Linked DNA regions of Canis lupus familiaris. The protein of the gene in region 2 interacts with the protein of the main gene of each other region in a pairwise test. Links are inferred from orthologs where the notes say so. Each region holds a gene or a part of one and is shown on either strand. Other genes may lie near its edges. The genes, in order: ZMYND19, SAXO1, STK16 and FHL3.

Region 1 (4,862 bases), on a different chromosome or scaffold from region 2:
TGGCTCATGGAAAAGCTGCTCTATTCAAATTCTCCAACCGCCTCCCTTTGCTAAGTATAGAAATCAACGTTCTTCTAAGAGCCTACTAACCACCACCCTTGGCTCCCACATCTCTAATCTTCAGCCCTGTTCCTGTCCTGAACTCCTGTCTGGTCACAGCGGACAATCCCACTTTTCCCAACATCCCAGCCCAGGGCCCTGTGGCCAGCTCTTCCCCCAGATGCCCACATGGTGCTCTCTCCACTCCTTACACTGTTCAAGTCCATGAGTCAATGGGGCAGAGCCTGCCCACCACCTTCCTTAGGCCCCTAGCCTCCTAATGCTGCTCTCCTGGTTTCCCCCACTGCCTTTATCACTCATCACGGGCCGTTCTGATTTGCACTCCCGGGTACTTTCAGTGGGAGTGCGGGCGGCGGGGTGGTTGCTAGGTAACAAGGGCGGCGGCCCCCGAGTGTCCTCCCGCCCCGAGCGCCCTCCAGCCTTCAGGTCCTCCCGCCCTAAGCGCCCAGCAGGAGCGAGCGGAGGGCAGAGCGGCCGCGGGCCCATCACCGCAGCCCGGTTCACGGCCCGACCCGCGGGGAAGGCGGCGGCGGCCCGAGCGCAGGCAGTGCGGGGGAGACGGGCCCCGTTGGCACAGGGGCGGTGTCCAGGGAGGGAGTAGGGCGGCCCGCGCCCCTCGCCCCTCGCCCCTCGCCCGCCGTCCCGCGGGTGCGGAGCCGTTTACCGGGAGCCGCAGCGAGTTCCGCAGGACCCTTCGGGCCGCCCCTCCGCGAGGGGGCGGCGCGTGGGTTCGGGGGCCAGGGGCAGGGCCGCGGCCGGGCGTTGGGGCCGGCGCCCGGCCTGAGCCGAGGGCGGCCAGCGGGGAGCAAGACGCCGCAGCGCGGCCGCCAGCACAAAGCTTCCCGCGAAACTGACGTAGCGCGGGGCGGCCGCGCAAGCGCCGCCCTCGGCCGCGCCCCTCCCCCGCGCTCCCACTGCTCCTCAGTGCGCCGGCGTACTTCCCCTCCTCCCATTGGCCACGGCGCGGCGGCGCGCGCAGGCCGGCGCGGGGCGCACCCCGCGATTGGCGGGTCGGCGGCGGGCGGGGGTGTGTCCGCGTCGCACCCCGCCTCCGGCTCCGCTCGCGGTGGTGCGCGCGGCGGCGGCGGCGGCGGCGGTGGCGGCGTCGGCGGCGGTGGCGCGTGGCAGGTCCGGCGGGCCCGAGGCGGCGGCGGCCCGAGCCCGGCCCAGCCTCGTCCCGCCTGGCCCCGACCCCGGCCCGCCGGCCCGGCCCACCCGGCGCGCCGCGGCGCCGCCCCGGCCCGGCCCCGGCCCCGGTCCCGGTCCCGGCCCGGCGCCTCCCGAGGGAGCGGCGCCGCCGGCCGAGCGCAGGCCTGGCCATGACCGACTTCAAATTGGGTATCGTGCGGCTCGGCCGGGTGGCCGGGAAGGTGAGCGGCGCGGGGGCCGCGGGGCCGCGGGGCCGCGGGGCCGGGACGCTGGGCTGGGGCCGTGGGGTCGGGGGCTGCGGAGCCGGGCGGGCGGGCGGGCGGGCGAAGGGTCCCCGCGGGCAGCACAGCGCCCTTCCGAGGCGGCAGGACGGTGTGCGTGCGTGTCGGCGCCCGCCAGCCCGTCGTGGAGCCTCGCGCGGGGTTCACGCTGCCGGCGCTGGCCGAGTGCGGACGGGCCTCGATGGGCCTCCCGGAGCAGGGCCTCCCTCTGCTTCTCTCCCTTACCTGGCCCCGCCCTCCGCGGGTTCGAGGCCGGGGCTTCCTGGCACCTGTGGGCATTGAGGCTTGGCTGTTTCCAGGAGCCGGCCGGCCGTGCAGCTGCTCCAGCCACGGACCTTACCCTGGATGGGAACCCTGTTCCCATCCCCAGCGGCGGCAGCTCCTGGTGGGAGACAGGAGCAGAGGCAGTCAGATGAAGGTAAAACCGACTTAGATCTTAGAAGGAGGCTCCCCGAGCAAGAATGAGACTAGTCCGTTTGGGGGGCCGTTTCCTGCCTTTCCTGCAAGAGGAATGTGGCTTTTTACCTGGGGAAGGGTGGGCTCCCCATCGGCTCTGAGACCTTTTCTTATTCAGTGACTGGTTGCATTCAGATCATCCTTTAAAACTTATTTGGAACATTTCAGAAGAAAGCTAAACAGTTCAGTGAGCACCTGTGTACTGCCACCCATCCTAATAAATAAATGTTTTCGAGGCCTTCTGTATGCCTTGTCTCACTCCAGGGCCCCTCCTCTGTTCCGAGGAAGCCCCAGTCTCAAATGAGGGTCAGCAGCACCTGAAACACAGCTTAGAGGTTAGCCAGTCCAGGGGCACTTAGGGCTTAGGCGCGTATGGATGGGAAGTGAAGCCTGATTCCTACTCCTCTGGGACAGTCTGGAGTGGGAAATGACCACCTGCCTTGGGGGTAGGGTACTTGGTGCCCCTCACCTGCTAGCCTCATTTAACCTGAAGGGGCGGTTTCTGTTACTAAAACTTTACTGTGACCCTGAATGTAACATTGCGAAACGTGGTTAATTTCCAGACGAAGTACACACTGATAGATGAGCAAGATATCCCGCTGGTGGAGGGCTACTCCTTTGAGGTAAGGATGGCTGTTTCTCTGTGGGCCTGCTTTCAGCCAATGCTTGAGGAGGGTCAGGAGGAATGGGTTTTACCCTGTGTTGTTGGTTCTCTCCCACTTTCACCCTGGTGCAAGTAGATCACATTGTGTCGTGTTTGTGATGATGTTCAGTTGGATAAGCCCTGGCTCCCTAGGGGACTGTCCAAGTGCCACCTCATGTTTCTTCTGGCCTTGGCCCAGCGTTCCTCCATCCCCCATCTTCCTGAGCTCCCTTGCCTTCCACTCTTCTCTGTGGGATGAGCTTCTGTTCACCTGCCCATCCTCACCTACCGGCTCCTCCACTTCAGAAATCCTTGAGGGCTCTGTGGACCCACTATGCTTTATCTCAGCCCTTCGTGTTTTTACAGAAAGGGTGGCCCTTGAACAAGAGTTTGAACTGCACAGGTTAACTTAGATGTGGGGGGGGTTTTGATAAACATAGTCTATTACTGTAAATATATTTCATCATGACTTCTTTGAAAACGTTTTCTTTAAGAATATAGCATACGATATGTCTCACATACAAAGTTTGTGTTAATCACTTGTTTGCCTCAGTAAGGTTTCTGGTCCAGAGCAAGCTATCAGTGAAGTCTCCGGAAGTTAAAAGTCCTATGCGGATTTTCACCTGTGTGGGGGCTCTGTACCTTACCCTACGTGTTCAGGGCTTAGCTATTAGTTACTTGTTCAAGGGTTTGTTTTTCTCACTGAATTGTGGGCATTTTCTAAGAGTAGGAAAACTTGTCTCTTTATGTCTACAGTGTTTTGCAGAGTGGTTTGTGGAGTATGTTGGGATACAGGGCTGGCTTCTCATGTCTGGGAGCCTCTGCAAAGCCCGGGGTCCCAGAAAGAGGCCTCATATATTTGCTCTAACTTGTTTGTTTCACTTCACTTCTTTAATAAAGTTTGAAAATGTAGCTGAGACCTGAAGGCTTTTTAACAGACCATTTCTCTCTCAGGCCCGGATGGAAGTAGATGCAGATGGAAATGGTGCTAAGATATTCGCATATGCCTTTGACAAAAACCGAGGAAGAGGGTCAGGAAGGCTCCTTCACGAGCTGCTGTGGTAGGTGTTTATGAGCTGCTTGTTCCTCATTTGGGTACTGCATGCAGCAACCTGTCCCTGTTGACAGAGGATGTGTTATCGGAGTCATGCTCCCCCCACCACCCCTCTTGTTACCTTTGAATCATTGCCGCTAACCCAGAGGAATGGCTCATTTGTATAGCGTACCACTAATGGAGCAGTCTAAAAGTGCACTTTCTGCTCAGGCACTTGTACCGGGCATGGCTCTCTCTCTGGGGTAGGGAGGACTCTGCTCCGTCCACTGTGTTCTTGCTGAGCCTGTTGGTGGGATGTGAGGAATGGCCTGCCTCCTCGTGGCGTCCACGGTGGAACTGCTGCTTGGAACTGCTCAGATGGGGTGTTCTCTAGGCTGTGTGTTTGATGGTTGGGGGCTCCATCCTTGGCTTTTTGCAGCCCAGCTCTCAAATCAAGGGGCTGAACTGTTAGCATGGTCCATCTTGTTTGACCACAGACTGACTGACATACTTGGATTCCTCTCAGCAGCCTTGTTCCTGACGCTCTCTGTCAGTGTGGCGAAGGGCCAGTTCAGATCCCACAGCTGAAGTATTTAGGGAGGCCTGAGGTGGCCGATTGCAAGACTTGTCTGTTTCCTAGGGAGCGGCACAGGGGAGGCATTGCTCCCGGCTTTCAGGTGGTACATCTCAATGCTGTGACTGTGGACAACCGCCTGGACAACCTGCAGCTGGTGCCATGGGGCTGGCGTCCCAAAGCAGAAGAGACATCCAGCAAACAAAGGTGGGTCTCATTCAGGGCCTGCTGAAGCCAGTGGAGGTGCCTCTGGGGGAAAGCCCTCCTCCAAGCCCTTGTGTTTTTATTTCTTAAATATTCTATTTATTAGAGTGTGCAAGTGAGCAAGAGCCGGGGGGTCGGGGGGTAGAGGGAGAGGGAGAAGCAGACTCCCAGAGAGTTGCAGGGAATTCTGTGTAGGGCTAGATCCCAGGACCCTGAGATCATGACCTGAGCCAAATGCAGGTGCTTCACCAAGTAAGCCACCCAGGTGCTTTGTCCTCCAAGCTCTTGATAACAAGAGGAGCCCCTGTGTCTGTTCTGATGCCTCTGTAGACATGGAGACCTTAGTTATTTTACCTCAAAGTGTGGGATCCCTGTTTTTTTCGTGGGGATACAATACTATTTTGATGGTTATTTTTTTGGGTTAGTTTTCTAATATTAGCTCTAGTGGGGAGAAGGGTCGTT
Region 2 (4,428 bases):
AAGAGTTGGGGATTACAAACTGGCCTCCATTCCCATGGTCTCAGCCTGTGGCTTGTGCTCCACAGAGTGACTGCCACACTGCTTTCACTGTACCTACCACTCCATATCTCATCTCTCCTATAGGACTATTAAGTCAGGGCACAGGCCATTATGCTTCCTTCACAGCTCCTAATACCAGGCCTGTGATGTAACAGATGCTCAATAAAGAACGAATTAGGAACACCTGGTGGCTCGGGTTAAGCATCCAACTCTTGGTTTCCACTCAGGTCATGATCTCATGGAGCCCTGCATCAGGCTCCTCACACAGCATGGAGTCTCTTGAGATCTTCTCTCTCCTCTCATCTCTCTCTCTCTCTCTCTCTCTCTCTCTCTCTTTCTTCCTCCCCACCCCAAATAAATAAATCTTTTTTTAAAAGAATGAATTGACCACATTAATATGAAATACAAAACAGGTAAAACTAATTCATGGTGCCTATTAGCATAATCCTTCTATCCTACATGGGATCAATGTTGTATTTCTTGATCTAGGCACTGTTTAAAGAAATGTGTTCACTCAAAATTCACTGGTCTGTAAAATTAAGATCTGTATGTTTTCCTATATGTACATTATGTTTCCATAATTTCTGAAATGGATGAATGAATCAGTCACTCAATCAGAATTGGAACCTAACTTAAACTTGAAACACTTCCCCAATGTAGAATTCCAACAGCAAGTTAAGGCAGGGGTTGGCACATCTTTTCTATAAAAGACCCAGATATTAAATGTCTAAGGCCATACAGACTCCAGCACAACCACTCAGATTCACTGCTATAGCACAGAAGCAGCCATGGATAATGTGTAAACAAATGAGTGTGGCTGTGCTCCAACAGAATGTACTTATGAATGCCGAAGTTTGGATTTCATGTAATTTTCACATTTCCTAAAATAATAGTCTGATTTTTTTTTAATCATTTGAAAATTTAAAAACCATTCTTAGCTCTCCAGCTCTAAAAAAACAGGCTTGTAGACCAGATTTGGCCCACAGGATGCAGTTTGCCCAACCCCTGTGCTCAGAGGGTGTGCCTGTAAAACCCATTTCCTGACCTGCACACAGGCTCAGCCTATCCTTCCCCAAGCTGCCCCTCAAGCACTCTCCCCCACCTTTGTAAGTAGGCAGACACTCCATCTTGTCACCACATGGATATTTACTGTCCCGAGGCTTGATGGAGCCCATTCTACAGACAGGGTAGGGGTTATAATCCTGTTTATATGTTGTGAGCAGATCCATGTTCTCTTCACTTGGGATGAACTTGTCAGGCTGGTAGATCTTCACAGGTAACACTTTGTGAGGTCCAAAATCTCTCCTAAAAGGAAAATAAATACACACCATTGACCCAGGAGAAGGCTCTTAAGGGTTTCCATTTAATCCAATTCTACAGACGTTTGCTGAGAATTCACCTTCTACTCTATCCCCCTAACTGCTCTTCCTCCTCTGTTTCCCACTTTCACAAAGGGTACCACCATTCCCCTCTCACCCAAGTCAGACACCTAGATGCCACCCTGGACCTGTCCTGTTGCTGCTCCAGATAATCACTCACTAAGTGCAGCCCCCACTCCATCTCATTGGTTTGTCTTTCCCCCTCAGTCCAGACTCTGACCATTTCTCACTTGAATCATGTGACAATTTACTACCTGGACTTCCTGCTGCATTTCCCACCACTTCTACATTAATCCCCATATAACGTAGCCAGAATAAACTCTCTGAAGAGAGATCACAAAATGAAATCATCTTACTCTCCAGCTGAAAAACATCTCCCAGATAAAGCCAGACTTTCTATCATGGTATATAAGCTTTCCTGGACCTGCCTCTGCCTTCCTCCCCAGCCTCATCTCCCACCTCCGTCCCAGCCTACACTCCACTCCAAACATACTGAACCACTCAGAAGGCCTCTTGTCTGTGCCTGCTCTCTCCACCTTCTCCCCCCCACCCAGTCACTTGACTGGGGGGCTAACTTTTATTTTTAAGGTACTACCACCTCCTCTTCTGCACTCCCAATAGCTTCTCCTGTGGATAATGATTGCCTTCCTCTACTTGATCCTAGAGAAAACCTAGCGGGCAGCACAATAGATGAAGACACAGAGTCTTTCACGTCTCAGCTCTCTGGTATCAGTGCTCCCATTATTTCAGGGAATATGAAAACAATAGATCAGAAAAAAGCATGATGGTCTTCAACTAGACAAGAAGTACTCCCTTCCCAGAACATCCTACAGTTACAGAAATTCCAAGCTACTAACTGCACTATCACCAGCATCGATGCTGGTAGAGCCAGGGCTCAGCTTGGGCTTGCACTGTCTCCCAAGGCAGTCTTGACTCCCCACTGTTCAAATGCAAACTCTTTTAAGCAAACATTTCCCCTCAAGGGCTTCTGATTTACACAACAGCCTGTTTTTGCTTGGAACCCATTCATCCAACTGGACAAGTGGAAGGGAGATTTTCCCTGATGGTGCTTGCCAAAACAACCTCGCCAAGAGAAGGGGGAGGTTTCCGGACAGGAAAACATCAGGCCCAAACACCAATAAAACCTACTTCCCTGCCAAAATCTGGAGCAGCATTACTGAGCCATGCTTGACTAACAAAGGTAACACGCTCCACTGTAACCTGTCTTGCATGAATTATACACGTGGTTGTGAATAAACCCAAACCAGGGCCCAAAGTATTTGGTGGGATGGGAGGGGGGAGTTAGGAAGCAGGAGAATTGGTCTCTCTAGGGCTCTAAGGGGGAAATGGGAGATGCTTCAGTTGAACTCCCAGTAACTCCCTCTGAGTAGATTTAAAAATATATCTCAGCAGCAGTTATAGGGTCTTCGGCCTGGGCTCCCTTCCCATGGGCCCCGTGTTGGCAAATAGCAAGAGGAAGCTGAGTGACCTGACACATCTGGAAGCTGACTCTGTATAAACTGGGGCTTATGGAGGGAACAGGCTAAACAAGAATCCAAGGGTCAGTTCCATATTTCTACTCTTTTTGAGTGTACAAGTGCCTCATGCTGGTATCTGTTTAATACTTAACAAGTTGCAGCAGAGAACTAGGAACTGACAGCCGTAGGCTGCAGAGCTGCAAGGTGGCCTTCCTCAGAAAGTGTGCTCCCAAGGAGAGGTGAGCTCTCCTCACTCCAAAAAGGGGTGGAGACAGCCTGGGACCACACATCCCCATATAAACCTGTGTTCGCTGATGGCAACTCAAGGGTTCAGCCCTCTTCATTTCCGAGGATTATCAACAGATATCTAAGGCAAGCAAAGAAGAACAGAGTTGAACGTCCAAGCTGCCCTACAGAGTACTCCCAACCCCAAAACGGCCAGTAGTGCCTTCCAGTCACAGGCCTGCCATGCTTTGGGACCCTTCGCACAGAGACCTCCTTTTCTGCCATTATTGCTAGTAAGGGAATCTAATTCCCCCTCAGAGAGGATGTAAGAACCTTTCTACAAGGCCCACCAAGCTCAATGACAACAAAAACCTGCTTAATGCATTTCCTGCCATCTCCATAGGAAAAGAGTAGGTAAATGCCAACCAAACTCACCAGCCCCGTGGGCTATCCTGAAGTTGGTTATTCAAAGACAAGAACTGATAAAGCAAAACCCTTGCTCACTGTGTTTAAAAAGTGAAACTGTTAACTAAATCTCCCTTTCTGGTACAAAATTCAAGTTTCTTTGTGAAAGTACACTTATGGTTGTATTTACTGATCAACAAATTAAGCAAATGATCTTTGTGGGAGTTGGGGTCGGGGTAGGGGGGTGATCTATTTCTAGAGTGGTAAAGTTTTAAATTTAAAGTGTAATTCATGGGGCACCTGGATGGCTCAGTCAGTTAAGTGTCTGCCTTTGGCTCAGGTTATGATCCCAGGGCCCTGGAATCAAGGGTCCCTGCTGAGTGGGGAGCTTGCTTCTCCCTCTTCTTCTGCCTGCCACCCCCCCCCCCCACTTGTCTTCTCCCTCTCTCTCTGTCAAGTAAATAAATAAAATCTCTTTAAAAAATAAAAGTGTAATTCATTTATACCCCACCCAAAGTATTTACTGTGGCTTAAGAGTGAATTTGATCAGAATATATGTTTCCTCATTATGTTTTTATGCTGAGAACATTCACTGAAATCGACCATTAACCACAACATAACTGCATGTCCCCAATCTCACATAATCTTACAGCCTTTAAGGTCATGTAAGAGAAAAGTATTTTATTCTTCCCAGAAATTGCTCAAATTTAGTAGCTTTTTTTTTTTTTAAGAACACTCCCTTGTCTCCCTGTGTTACATTCCCTACCTAGTCCCTATACCCCTTGCGACTATGAACCAAGAAAAAAAATTGGTCAAAGATGTTAAGTCTCTTATAGATGCATAGCCATAAAAGTTATATTAGTCTGGAAGGCCAAGAGTTAAACTTCAAGTTAAGCAAAGGT
Region 3 (5,145 bases), on a different chromosome or scaffold from region 2:
ATGCCAAGAGAGCAGTCCTGGAGACACCGGGTGGAGATTCTAATGAGGGATGAGAGCCTCCTTCCAAGGCACAGGGCCACCTCTCAACGTAGCCATTGGTCTGTTTAGATTTGGGTGGTATGTTGGCCTGAAGCTGGGGGTTGCAGTGCCTCCAACTGACTGAGGAGGAGAGAGATGGGAGGGCGCTCCTGGGGGTCTACAGTCATCATTGAGGCCAGCAGCTGCCGCAAGGTTGAAGAATGCCTGTGGAAGGAGGCGGGCAGGGTGACTGGAGGGTCCTCATTCCCCATGCTACGGTTCTAACTCCACTAATGCCAGTGAGGAGTCTGAAGTGTTTCGTACCCCTTTTATTGCTCACCTGGGGCTCTGCGGGATGCTGAGTTGGTTCTGCACAGCAAGGGCCACACTGTCACCCTTCTGGAACACCATGTCATATGGGCCTTCCCCAAACATCATGGCATACAGCACGCAGCCTAGGGACTGAACATAACTTGGTTATTACTTGACAAGGGACCAATAGAAATGATCTCTTTCCTCTGGACTCTGTAGTGAAAGGTGACTACATAAGCTAATAAGAATAGGCTGACCTCAGCCCCATGACACCACCAGGGTCCAGAGAAAGCACCAGCTAGCTGGAGGCTTCTGCACCCCCTGCTTGCCACTGCCTTCAGTCCTGACACTTAGCTGTACTCATTCTGTTCAAAGGGAGGAATGATACCACTTCCTGAGCAATTGAGTACAGTGTCAGTGACGGTTCCCAGGAAGGAAGTCGAGGGGGATGGGGACATACACGGTTCCTGGGGCCCCATGCAATCGAAACCAAAGACCTGCCCCTCTGCTGCACAGCAGGTACAGAGCGGTACTCCTCCCCATCCATGTGCCCCCCCACATGCTCCTCACCCAGACATCAGTCCGCTCATCAATGACACAGTGGCTCTGCACGGAGAAGAGCTCTGGGGCGCGGTAGGAGATGGTGCATCGCTGGGCTGCCCAGTCCTGGAAGAGTGGCCCCATAGCTCAAAAGAGAGGCACAGGTCATAGTCATGTGACCAAACTGGGGCATGCAACAGGAAAGGCTGAGGATGGGGAACAGGAGGGCAAAGGAACCTGGACACTCTTTTACCTGCAGGGCCAGAGCCTGGCGGGAGCCTTCCACATGGATGCAAGCTTGATTCATGGAACCCAAGTCCATTAAAACTGGCTGCCCCTCATCTCCAAGCAAGATATTGGTGGGCTTCAGGTCCCTGCAGGAAAGTGGAAATAAATGGCCCATGAACATCCCTGGATAGGGAGACTAGAATCCCTGGGGGCAAAAGAATCATGGGGACTGTTCCTTGGGAGGAGAGCAGAGACCACTCAATCCTTTTGGTGAGGCTCTTTCTTTCTGCCCCATAAGCACACTGGGCCCTCCCACTGACCTGTGGGCATAACCTCTGGCATGAATGGCCTCAAGGCCTCTGCAGATACCCAGCAGCAGCTGAAGGATTTGATCTTCAGTCAAGAAGTTGCCTTTGTCCTTCAGCCTTTCTATCTCGTTCCACAGCGTACCCCTCTGCAACACAAGTTTCCCCACGGTTGGACAGGTTTTCTGGGTCTCTGCTCCCTCAGCCTGATCCCTTCCCTGTGTCACAGCCTAGCAGCTCTTTCACCACACACACTACACACCTCACAGTCCCACTTGGGTTCCCCTAAACCCCAAATCTGAAGCGGTCCAACACAGGACATGGTCTCTGCTTCCTAACGTGCTTGGCTACTCACACAGCCCTCGGTAGATGACTCTGTTGCAAGCCCCTCCATTGCCAGGAGACTTTCTGACCTTGAAGAAGGGTAGCAGCAGCCAGGCCTCATGTTTAGTGCCCCGCTCCCTCAGACAATAAGCCACAAGGCGGAGGATGTTGGGGTGATGGAAGAGGCGATGCATGTCTGCTTCTCGTTGGGCTTCCTCCCGATCCTGCTGCTCGTGACACAGGATCCGCTTCAGGGCGTAGAAGTGTCCATCATGTAACCCCTCCACTAGGTCCACATAGCTGAACCCACTGTGGGCCAAAGGGGTCAGTGAAGGACCACGGTCATCTCCCACACTGCTTGGACCCAGAGGAACTCCCTGGGTGGGGAGGGGAGGGGGTGTCTTTCCCAGTCAGCAGAAACCCTCCCAAGACGTGGCTTCAGGAGAAGTCTGAAGATTTTACACTTTGAGCTCAAGGGTAGGAACACAGCAATCTTTGAGGTACCTTGGTCATAATGCACAGCTCTGCACGTGACAAATGCTCCGGAAATGTTACATGAGTAAGTAACAGTCAACATCTGTCAAGTGCTGTGAACCGGGCCCTGGGTGAGATTATTATTATTATTTTTTCTCTTTTTGGTGAGATGATTTCTATGCACTATCTCATTTAATCCTCACAACTCCATCAGCGACAAAAGATAATTATCTCCAGGGCAGCCCGGGTGGCCCAGCGGTTTAGCGCAGCCTTCAGCCCAGGGCCTGACCCTGGAGACCCAGGATCGAGTCCCGCATCGGGCTCCCTGCATGGGGCCTGCTTCTCCCTCTGCCTGTGCATGTGCGTGTGTGTGTGTCTCTAATAAATAAAATCTTAAAAAAAAAAAAAAAAAGATGATTATCTCCATTAAGCAGATGATGAAACCACGGCTTAAGGTCACACCAGGTGGAGCCAGGAGGCCTGGCTCCAGAATCCACTTTCTTGGCATTCGGGTTGCTAGGCTCTGTCAGGGGAGCTAAAGGATGCTTTACAAGGATGAACCTCCTGAGGCCCTATCACGTGCAGACTGCTGTCCTTCACTCACCAGAACCCTGGGGGCTGGCTAGGCGATTTCAACACTCACCCCTCCCCCAGTTTCTGGATGAAGAGGTAGCGCTTGTTGTCAATGAGGACGGTTCCCCGGGAGCAGACACACAGCGCGTGGCCCATAGCGCCTCAGTCATCCTCCTCAGGGGCGGTCCGGGGCTGCCGACGGCCGCGTGCGGGCTGAGGGGGCTCTTCCAGGCGACGCGCTGGGGGCCCCGCGGATCATGCTGGAAGGCAAAGGACGGCAGGGTCGTGGGCCAGGCACGACCCCCGAAGTGCCGACGTGCAGAGCTGGCGCCCGGGCCTCGGAACGCAGAGGAAACGAGCCTTGGCGACGCCGGCTCGGGCACGGCCGAGGTCGGGTGCCCTGGAGCCTCGGGCCACGCCGCGACGCCCAGGCCGCGTCCTCGCCGTCGGGCCGCCTCGGCAGCCGCGGAGCGTGGGGGCGAGGCCCGGGCCCACCCGGCGGGGCCCGCCCCGGCCTCGGCGCGCAGAGCCCCGGGAGGGCCGGCCCCGACTCCCCACTGACCTGGCTCCGGCCGGAGACGAGCGCCGCGGACCGGAAGGAGCGTCTACGTCATCAGGCCGCGCCGGCGTAACGGCCCGCGGTATCCTAGCAACCGCAGGGCATCCGGAGGATGTGGGGGCGCGGAGCTGAGAGGCCGGGGGCGGGCTAAGGCGCGGGGGAGCACGGGTCCCGGGACCCGGTGAGGGTTCCACACCAGGCCTTCAGTAGTGGGCAGGACGCAGGCACCCGCGCCCAAGGGGAGCAAAGCCGGGCTCGGCCCGAGGCCCCCCAGGCCCCCCGTCTCCCAATGCCGGAGGTAGGAAGCTGCAGTCCAGCCCCGAGGGGCGGGGGCCGGGCGGGGGCCGGCGGCCTGGACCCCCACAGCGCCGATCGGTGCACCCTTCGGGGCTCAGGCCTGCATCCCACTACCCTAGTTTCAGTGGTTAAGAGCTTACTAGCTGCGTGACCTTGGACGACTTAACCTCTCAGAGCCTCGGTTTCCCCAGTTGTAAACAAGCTCTAACAGTACCTAAGGTTAGGTGCCCGTACGGGGAGGCCAGGCTGCAGCTCCCAGCTCTGCTAAACTAGCTGCGTGACCTTGAGCAGACTATTTAAAATTTCTGCCTCTCAATTCCCTCATGGGTAAAATGGGAGTGATAATTACCAACTGCACGGAGCTTTTTGAAGATGAAGTGAGATGTAAAGTGCTTAGCACACTATCTGACACAGCCTTGGTGTCAATAAATAGAAGTTGCTGTTATTTTTATTATGATTCTATTTTTCTTATCCTGGTCCTTACATCCCAGGCTTGGGATTGTGAAGGCAGGAGTCATGGAAATTCATAAATTCCCAAGCCTTGGCCCCAGGTAGTTGTTCTTGACAGCTCTCGCTGAGGCAGGGCAGGGATAAATTGAAGAGCGGTGGACATCCAAAGAAGACAGAATGGCTGAGGTGGTCTCTTTTGCTGTAGCAGGGCCACTAGGAGAAAAAAAAAAAAATCCCATTTATAACTTGGTTCCTACTTTCACACCACTGGGAAGATTGATTCCGAACCTGTTTTAGCCCCCTGGTTCCGACATTCATTCATCTAGATTTAACCTGCTATGTACCGAGTCCCGTGCTAGAAGCTGAGGATGCAAGATGGACAAGGTACTCTTCACCCTCAGGGAGCTCAGTTTAGTACCACAGTGCTTCTCAATCTTGAATGCCTTTCGGATCGCCTGGGAATCTTGTTAAAATCCAAATTCTGATTCTAATAGGTCTGAGGTAGGACCTGAGACTCTGCATTTCTAACAAGCTCCCAGGTGATGCTGATGAAGCGGATTCAAGATGTAGAGGATCTTACAAACTAGTAGAGTAGCGCGGGTGGACAAGTCCAGGCTAATTGCCTGGTGACTTGAGGTGGTCTCCGCCCCCTTGCTCGCTGAGGTTCCCTCCCAGGAATCCACCACGTGACAGCCGGACCGCCCTCTCTGAATAGAGGAGCCCTGTTAGCGCCATGGCTCCCAGGAAGCGGCTCTGCCTTCCCGTCCTGCTGTTGCCACTTCTGTCCCTGCTGCTGCCCCAGGTAAAATGACAGGATTGAATCGGCAGGCTGGGCGTGGTGAGGCGGGATGAGATCCAGCCCAGGAGAGAAAGTGAAAATAACAGAACAACAGGCTGGGCTAGTTCCATCTCCTCTGCAGACTCTGACCCCTCCCTCTGTTCCAGGCCTCTGCTGACCCCGGGCTCTCTCTTTGCAGGCAGACAATCGGTCGTTCATAGTGGATCGGATAAATGACAGATTCCTTCTAGATGGGGCCCCGTTCCGCTACGTGTCTGGCAGCCTAC
Region 4 (4,938 bases), on a different chromosome or scaffold from region 2:
TTTTTCATCTTTAAAATAAGGATAAGAATACACATTTCATACAGTTGTTGGATAGTCAAGTGCATTAGTGTATGCAACGTGCTTAGGCAGGGACTGGTGCAAAGAACTTGGGAAATGCTGGCTCCTATTAAGGCTGTTCAGCAGAGATACAAGCCATGAGGAAACACTAGAGACCCCAACTCTACCTTTGATCCAGCAGCTTCCTTAGTCATACCCCTCCCTCTCTGAAAGCTGCTCATCTTTGCTCTCCCCTCACCTCAGAGCCCTTCCCAAGGCAAGGAGCCTCCTACACCTAGATGACAAAGGCCAGAGAAAGGCTCACCCATGCGCTGGCTGGTCACTCCCTGGACTCCAGGTAGCAGGTACCTGAGGTCCAAACTGGGGTGGGGAGGAGTTGAAACTGAAGCAGCGTCTGTCATTCATTCATTCGTTCAATATTTATTATATGGCAGACATAGGAGTAGGTACTGGGAATGTGGTAGTGAACAAGAAGAACCCAGTCCTGCCCTCATGGCCTCATGACAATCTAGGCATTAGGAACAATAACCAAGCAAATAGTTTAATTTGGGGAGGAAACCTGGCCTCGACGGTGACTTGGGATCCGGGAAGACAGGAATATGATTTAGAGATGGGAGAGGAAGGTATTCAGGAGGCCTGGCCTGGGAGCAAATGAGTCTCTGTTCTGAGAGCTTGGCTAGACCCAGCCTGGGGGATGGGAGAAGCCCTGTGGCACCTGAGTCTCTACTCTAGATGCTGAGGTTATTTCTAGAGTCAGTTTGTTGTCTCCTGTTTTGCAAACAGTACAGCACAGCCTCCTCCTCCCTTCCCCACCCTTCTAGATCGAGGCTATTTATGCCTAGTGACAAGCCTGAGGATCCCAGGGGGATTGGCCCAAGGACCTGGAGGGGCCTTGTGTCCCTGGCAGGCAGCAGTCCTCCCTCCTGGGGCGCAGGGAGAAAGCCAGAGGATTGGAAACTGTAGAGGTGGGGGAGGAAGGGTTCCCTCCACTTCCCTCCACCAACCCTGCGGTGCCCCATCCGCGCACACTCTTCACACCCCTCCCTGAGAAACCCAAAAACCATGGGGCCAAGGATTAGGGTCTCCCCTGGGCCTCAAAGGTCATAACTATTCCTGGGCACTGTGGAAACCCAAGGCCGAACTTCTCTGTCCCAGGGTGCCTCCGGAGGTGAGGAGGTGGGGGGTACTTCTGTTTTTGCCACTCAAAAGTTGTGAAATCATTGAAGGTCAAGGCCCAGTCTGGGGTCAGGCGGAGGCGGAGGTGGGGGGGTCCCTTCTTCACTCCCTGTTTCCAGAGAACACCTTGGTTCCCATTGATAGGGAGGGCCGTGACAGCAGAGTCAAGCCACCTCACACACACACACTCCCGGGCCTCCAGGCTTGATTAAGGCCCCTTTACAAGCTGGGTCTAGGTGTGACCCTGAGGGGATGAGCTGGAAGGTGGGAGTGGGGGCGCACGAAGAGGCCATGAGTGAGGACCCCAGGGGACTTGGGTGGGCTGGGTGCCGGCCCCCGTGCTGGAGATCGAGTGCAGCAGGCCGTCTCCAGCGGGCTGCTGGGGGGTGCAGGGGGTGCAGCAGGGGAGGGGACGGCGGAGGCGAGCAGGGGACGGGGGCGGGGTCCCGGCGCCGGGGAAGGTCGGGCGAGCCAGGTTAGACCCGCGGGCCCGAGGGGGGGTGTGGGCGGGGTCTGGCCCCCGGCCTGGGGGTGCGGGGCGGGGGCGGCCGGGGGCGGGGTCCGGGCGGGGCGGGCCCGGCGCGCACTTCCTCGGGGAGGGGTTGGGGCCGCGCTCCACTCGCCCGCTGGGTCCGTGCGCTCCGGCAGCGCCGCCGGCCGCCCGCTCGCCCCGCTCGCCCCGCTCGCCCCGCCCGCCCCGCCCGGCCCCGCTCGCCCGGCCCGCAGGTACGAGCCACCGAGGGACGCGCGGCCCGGCCTCCCCGCTCCCGCCGCCCGCTCCGAGGTGAGCTCCCGCCCAGGCCGGCTCCTCGCCCGGGGCCCCCCGACGCCCCGGGGGGCGCGCTTGGAGCGGGGGGCGCCGAGCCCCGGAGGGCGCCCCCCCACCCCCGGGACCGCCCCGATCCCGGCCGCCCGGCGGGGTGGGGGGGGCTGCTCGACACCTGGGGATGGGGGGGGAAGGGGCCAAGTTTGAAACGGAGAAGCCAGAGTCGAGCGCGGGACCTGGAGGGTTGGGGAAACTGAGGCTCCCTGAAAGCCGGGCGGAGCCAGACCAAGACGCGGGCCCGCGCGGCAGGCTTGGACAGGGGGCTGCACGGGGACCCGAGTCAGGGAGTCAGGGACAGGTTCTGGGGGCGTAGAGTCCCCGAGAGGGAGACCGGAGGCGTCTGGACGGACCTAGGTTTTGTGGGTTGGAGCACTCGAAGGAGAAGCGTCCCCTGACCCCGGTGAACACGGAGCAGCGCCCTTCCCAGGGCTTTGCAGGGTCCCGGGCGGTGAGGGGCCCCGAAGCCTAAGCTTCCTTAGCCCTGTGGCAGATCAGCCTCTGTGAGGCCTATGGAGCCGTCCAGAAACTGCAGACAGGGACGCTCAGGAACAGAGGTGCTCCGAGGAGGAAGCGAAGGGGTCGGGGTGGGAACCCCTTGGAGGCACTCAGTTACGGAGATTTGGGTGTACAGAGGTAGAAATGAGCAGAGGTCACTAGCCCGGGACACAGGTCCCCAAAACACGAAGACAGCTGAGGTGTGCAGAGGCTCAGTCGCGCTGCGTGGGGCGCAGCTGGCTTTGCTCGAGGCGCCCTGACAGCTTCCCAGACAGACCCCGAGACACGGAGGCCTGAGAAAGACTGGGAAGCAGGGGTGCGGGGAAACAGAGACTCTGGGCCAGCCAGAGCCCCGTGAGGCAAGGACCTGAGACAGGCACGTCGGAAAGGAGCCCCAGGCACACACCAAGACAGCCCCAACTTATTTTTAAACTCAAATCATGGACATGCTGCTTCAGCCCTGGGGGACCCGGGGTGAATGAACTGTTCCTCTCCTGTCCCCAAGGCAGCTGCTGGATCCCGCTTCCCGCCCTCCTTCCCCTAAACTGCTCTGACTCCCAGGCCCCATGGCGGGGAGGGGTGGGGAGAGGGAGAGTTTGGGGTTGGTGCCTGATACCGGAGGTTGGGGGCTGGGGGGGGTTAGGTTTCTCCCCTTAAATCTCCTGTCAGTTCCTGGGAGCTGGGAGGAGGGGTCTGATCTGATCCTGACTCACAGCTGTGAGGCCTGGCCAGGGTCCTCCCCGACAGTGCAGGGTGGATGGGGGCAAAGGAGTTGAACGGTTGGCATGGGCAGTTGGAAAGGCTTCTGGGTGCCTTCCAATGGCAGGGTTAGCAGCTGGGGGAGAAGAGTGAGACTCCTGTGCTAGTGATGTCACCGAGTATCTCCCACACCCCTGCTCTTAAAATGTTGACCACCCCGTTTTGCCACCGCTGCAGCATTTTTAGAGAGAAAAACAGGAAAGGGCTCCAGGCTGGGAAGCAGGGAACCTGGGCTCTCCGAGGCCTGAGTGACCTTGGGCCTGGCTTGTCCCTGTGCTCGACTGTAAGATGGGAATGACATGCTCTTCTGCCTGCCTTTTGGGAGATCTGGTGAAATAGTGGATGGGATTTCTCTTTATGGGAGGCCAAGCAGCATGCAGGTGTGTACACCTGTGTACCTGTGTGAGGGGTCTCAGGAGTTATGCTCATTGGCACCAGGCCGGCCCCACTGATCTCCTCAGGCAGCCCCACGGCCTGGGCTTCTTCACTTCCCCTAGTGGAACTGGGGAGTGGGGGTGGGGGTCCCTCTTTGGTCTATCCCTGAATCTACCCTGAGAATGTCCAGGTCAAAACCCAGGCCAGCTCCCTGAGCCAGGCCTGGCTCAGAAATTTGTCTGACCCCCGTATGAGTGAGGGGCTGATCATAAAAACGCCCACAGCTACCATTCACTGAGGAGTCCCTTTCTGCCAGGTGCTTTCCAAGCACCACCATTTCAGCCTGACGACAACCCCGGGAGAAGGGGGTAGGCGTAGAGGAAAACAGGCCCAGGAACCTTAAGTGACTTGCCCAAGATCACCCAGCTAGTAAGGGAAGAAGTCAGGATGCCCACCCCAAGCCACATTTGGGCCTACTATACACTGTGCCACAGCCATTTATCTAGCCATTCTAACCTCTGGGAGGCTCACTGGAAGGTGCCAGATGTGTGTGTCAGGTGTAGGGGTGGTGTGTGTGTGAGTGTGTGTTTGTGTGTGTGTTGAGGACAAGAGTTGAGAGCCATTTGGCAGACTGAGCAGTCTCCTCCGTAACCCCCCCTCCCCAGGCCATGAGGGAATATAAGACTGGTTCTCTTCAGTTCTCTTGCTGTGCCAGGGAAAGTGGGAGGGAGGGGAGGAAGGGGGATGGGCAGGGACAGGTGGGTCTCCATAGTGCCCTTCACTCTGTCCTCATTAGAGCCCAGCTGGACAAACTAGGGGACTGGGGGATTCTGGGAAAGAAACAGAAGCCATGCCCATACCCTATTTGGGGTGCCCCTGTTTCAGAGTGATGACTGCCTCCCAGAGGGTGGCCCCAGGGCTACCCTGGGCCCGGGAAGGTGATGGCTGCTGTGTGCCAAGCCAGAAAGGAAGGAAAAGATTTGGGGCACTCCCCAACGGACCACGGCCACACACTCCACCTGTGTGGCCCCCTGCTGCCCAGTGGCCCACAGCCCAGGCAACCCTCAGATGTTGGGCCAGAGGAAACCCAGGCCTGATTGGCGGGGAGCGGATGGAGAAAGAGGGCTGCCCTCTACCCCACAGCATAGCCCTGCCCCAGAATCACCTCTCTGAAGACCCCAGCCCCTGGAGGCCTCGTGGCCTGGCCCGGGATCGGAACTCTGTGTTCCCCCCACTCCGTGGTACAGAAGGGCAGCTTGGAGTTCACAAACCATCCCTTCAAGAGCCAG

Evidence for each region.
Region 1: the proteins of SAXO1 (region 2) and ZMYND19 interact in binary tests that used the Homo sapiens proteins (3 or more experiments, as listed by UniProt). The two-hybrid records come from large-scale screens. The link is inferred for Canis lupus familiaris from reciprocal best matches to the Homo sapiens genes SAXO1 and ZMYND19.
Region 3: the proteins of SAXO1 (region 2) and STK16 interact in binary tests that used the Homo sapiens proteins (3 or more experiments, as listed by UniProt). The two-hybrid records come from large-scale screens. The link is inferred for Canis lupus familiaris from reciprocal best matches to the Homo sapiens genes SAXO1 and STK16.
Region 4: the proteins of SAXO1 (region 2) and FHL3 interact in binary tests that used the Homo sapiens proteins (3 or more experiments, as listed by UniProt). The two-hybrid records come from large-scale screens. The link is inferred for Canis lupus familiaris from reciprocal best matches to the Homo sapiens genes SAXO1 and FHL3.

The regions. Positions count from the first base shown.
Region 1 is NC_049230.1:48,177,486-48,182,347, forward strand, and holds the start of ZMYND19 (zinc finger MYND domain-containing protein 19), read left to right. Parts: upstream 1-1,331; 5' UTR 1,332-1,379; coding exon 1,380-1,430; intron 1,431-2,509; coding exon 2,510-2,569; intron 2,570-3,543; coding exon 3,544-3,650; intron 3,651-4,262; coding exon 4,263-4,403; intron 4,404-4,862. UniProt on the Homo sapiens protein: May be involved as a regulatory molecule in GPR24/MCH-R1 signaling.
Region 2 is NC_049232.1:38,846,080-38,850,507, forward strand, and holds part of SAXO1 (stabilizer of axonemal microtubules 1), read right to left. Parts: intron 1,345-4,428; coding exon 1,142-1,344; intron 1-1,141. UniProt on the Homo sapiens protein: May play a role in the regulation of cilium length. Stabilizes microtubules at low temperature.
Region 3 is NC_049258.1:25,667,893-25,673,037, reverse strand, and holds the start of STK16 (serine/threonine-protein kinase 16), read right to left. Parts: upstream 3,432-5,145; 5' UTR 3,337-3,431; intron 3,035-3,336; 5' UTR 2,931-3,034; coding exon 2,845-2,930; intron 2,256-2,844; exon of another isoform or gene 2,241-2,255; coding exon of another isoform or gene 2,232-2,240; intron 2,037-2,231; coding exon 1,817-2,036; intron 1,553-1,816; coding exon 1,419-1,552; intron 1,245-1,418; coding exon 1,124-1,244; intron 997-1,123; coding exon 901-996; intron 481-900; coding exon 359-480; intron 244-358; coding exon 105-243; 3' UTR 1-104. Other genes in the region: GLB1L (beta-galactosidase-1-like protein), read left to right, coding at 4,814-4,882, 5,058-5,145. UniProt on the Homo sapiens protein: Membrane-associated protein kinase that phosphorylates on serine and threonine residues. In vitro substrates include DRG1, ENO1 and EIF4EBP1. Also autophosphorylates. May be involved in secretory vesicle trafficking or intracellular signaling.
Region 4 is NC_049236.1:4,652,902-4,657,839, forward strand, and holds the start of FHL3 (four and a half LIM domains protein 3), read left to right. Parts: upstream 1-1,891; 5' UTR 1,892-1,978; intron 1,979-4,938. UniProt on the Homo sapiens protein: Recruited by SOX15 to FOXK1 promoters where it acts as a transcriptional coactivator of FOXK1.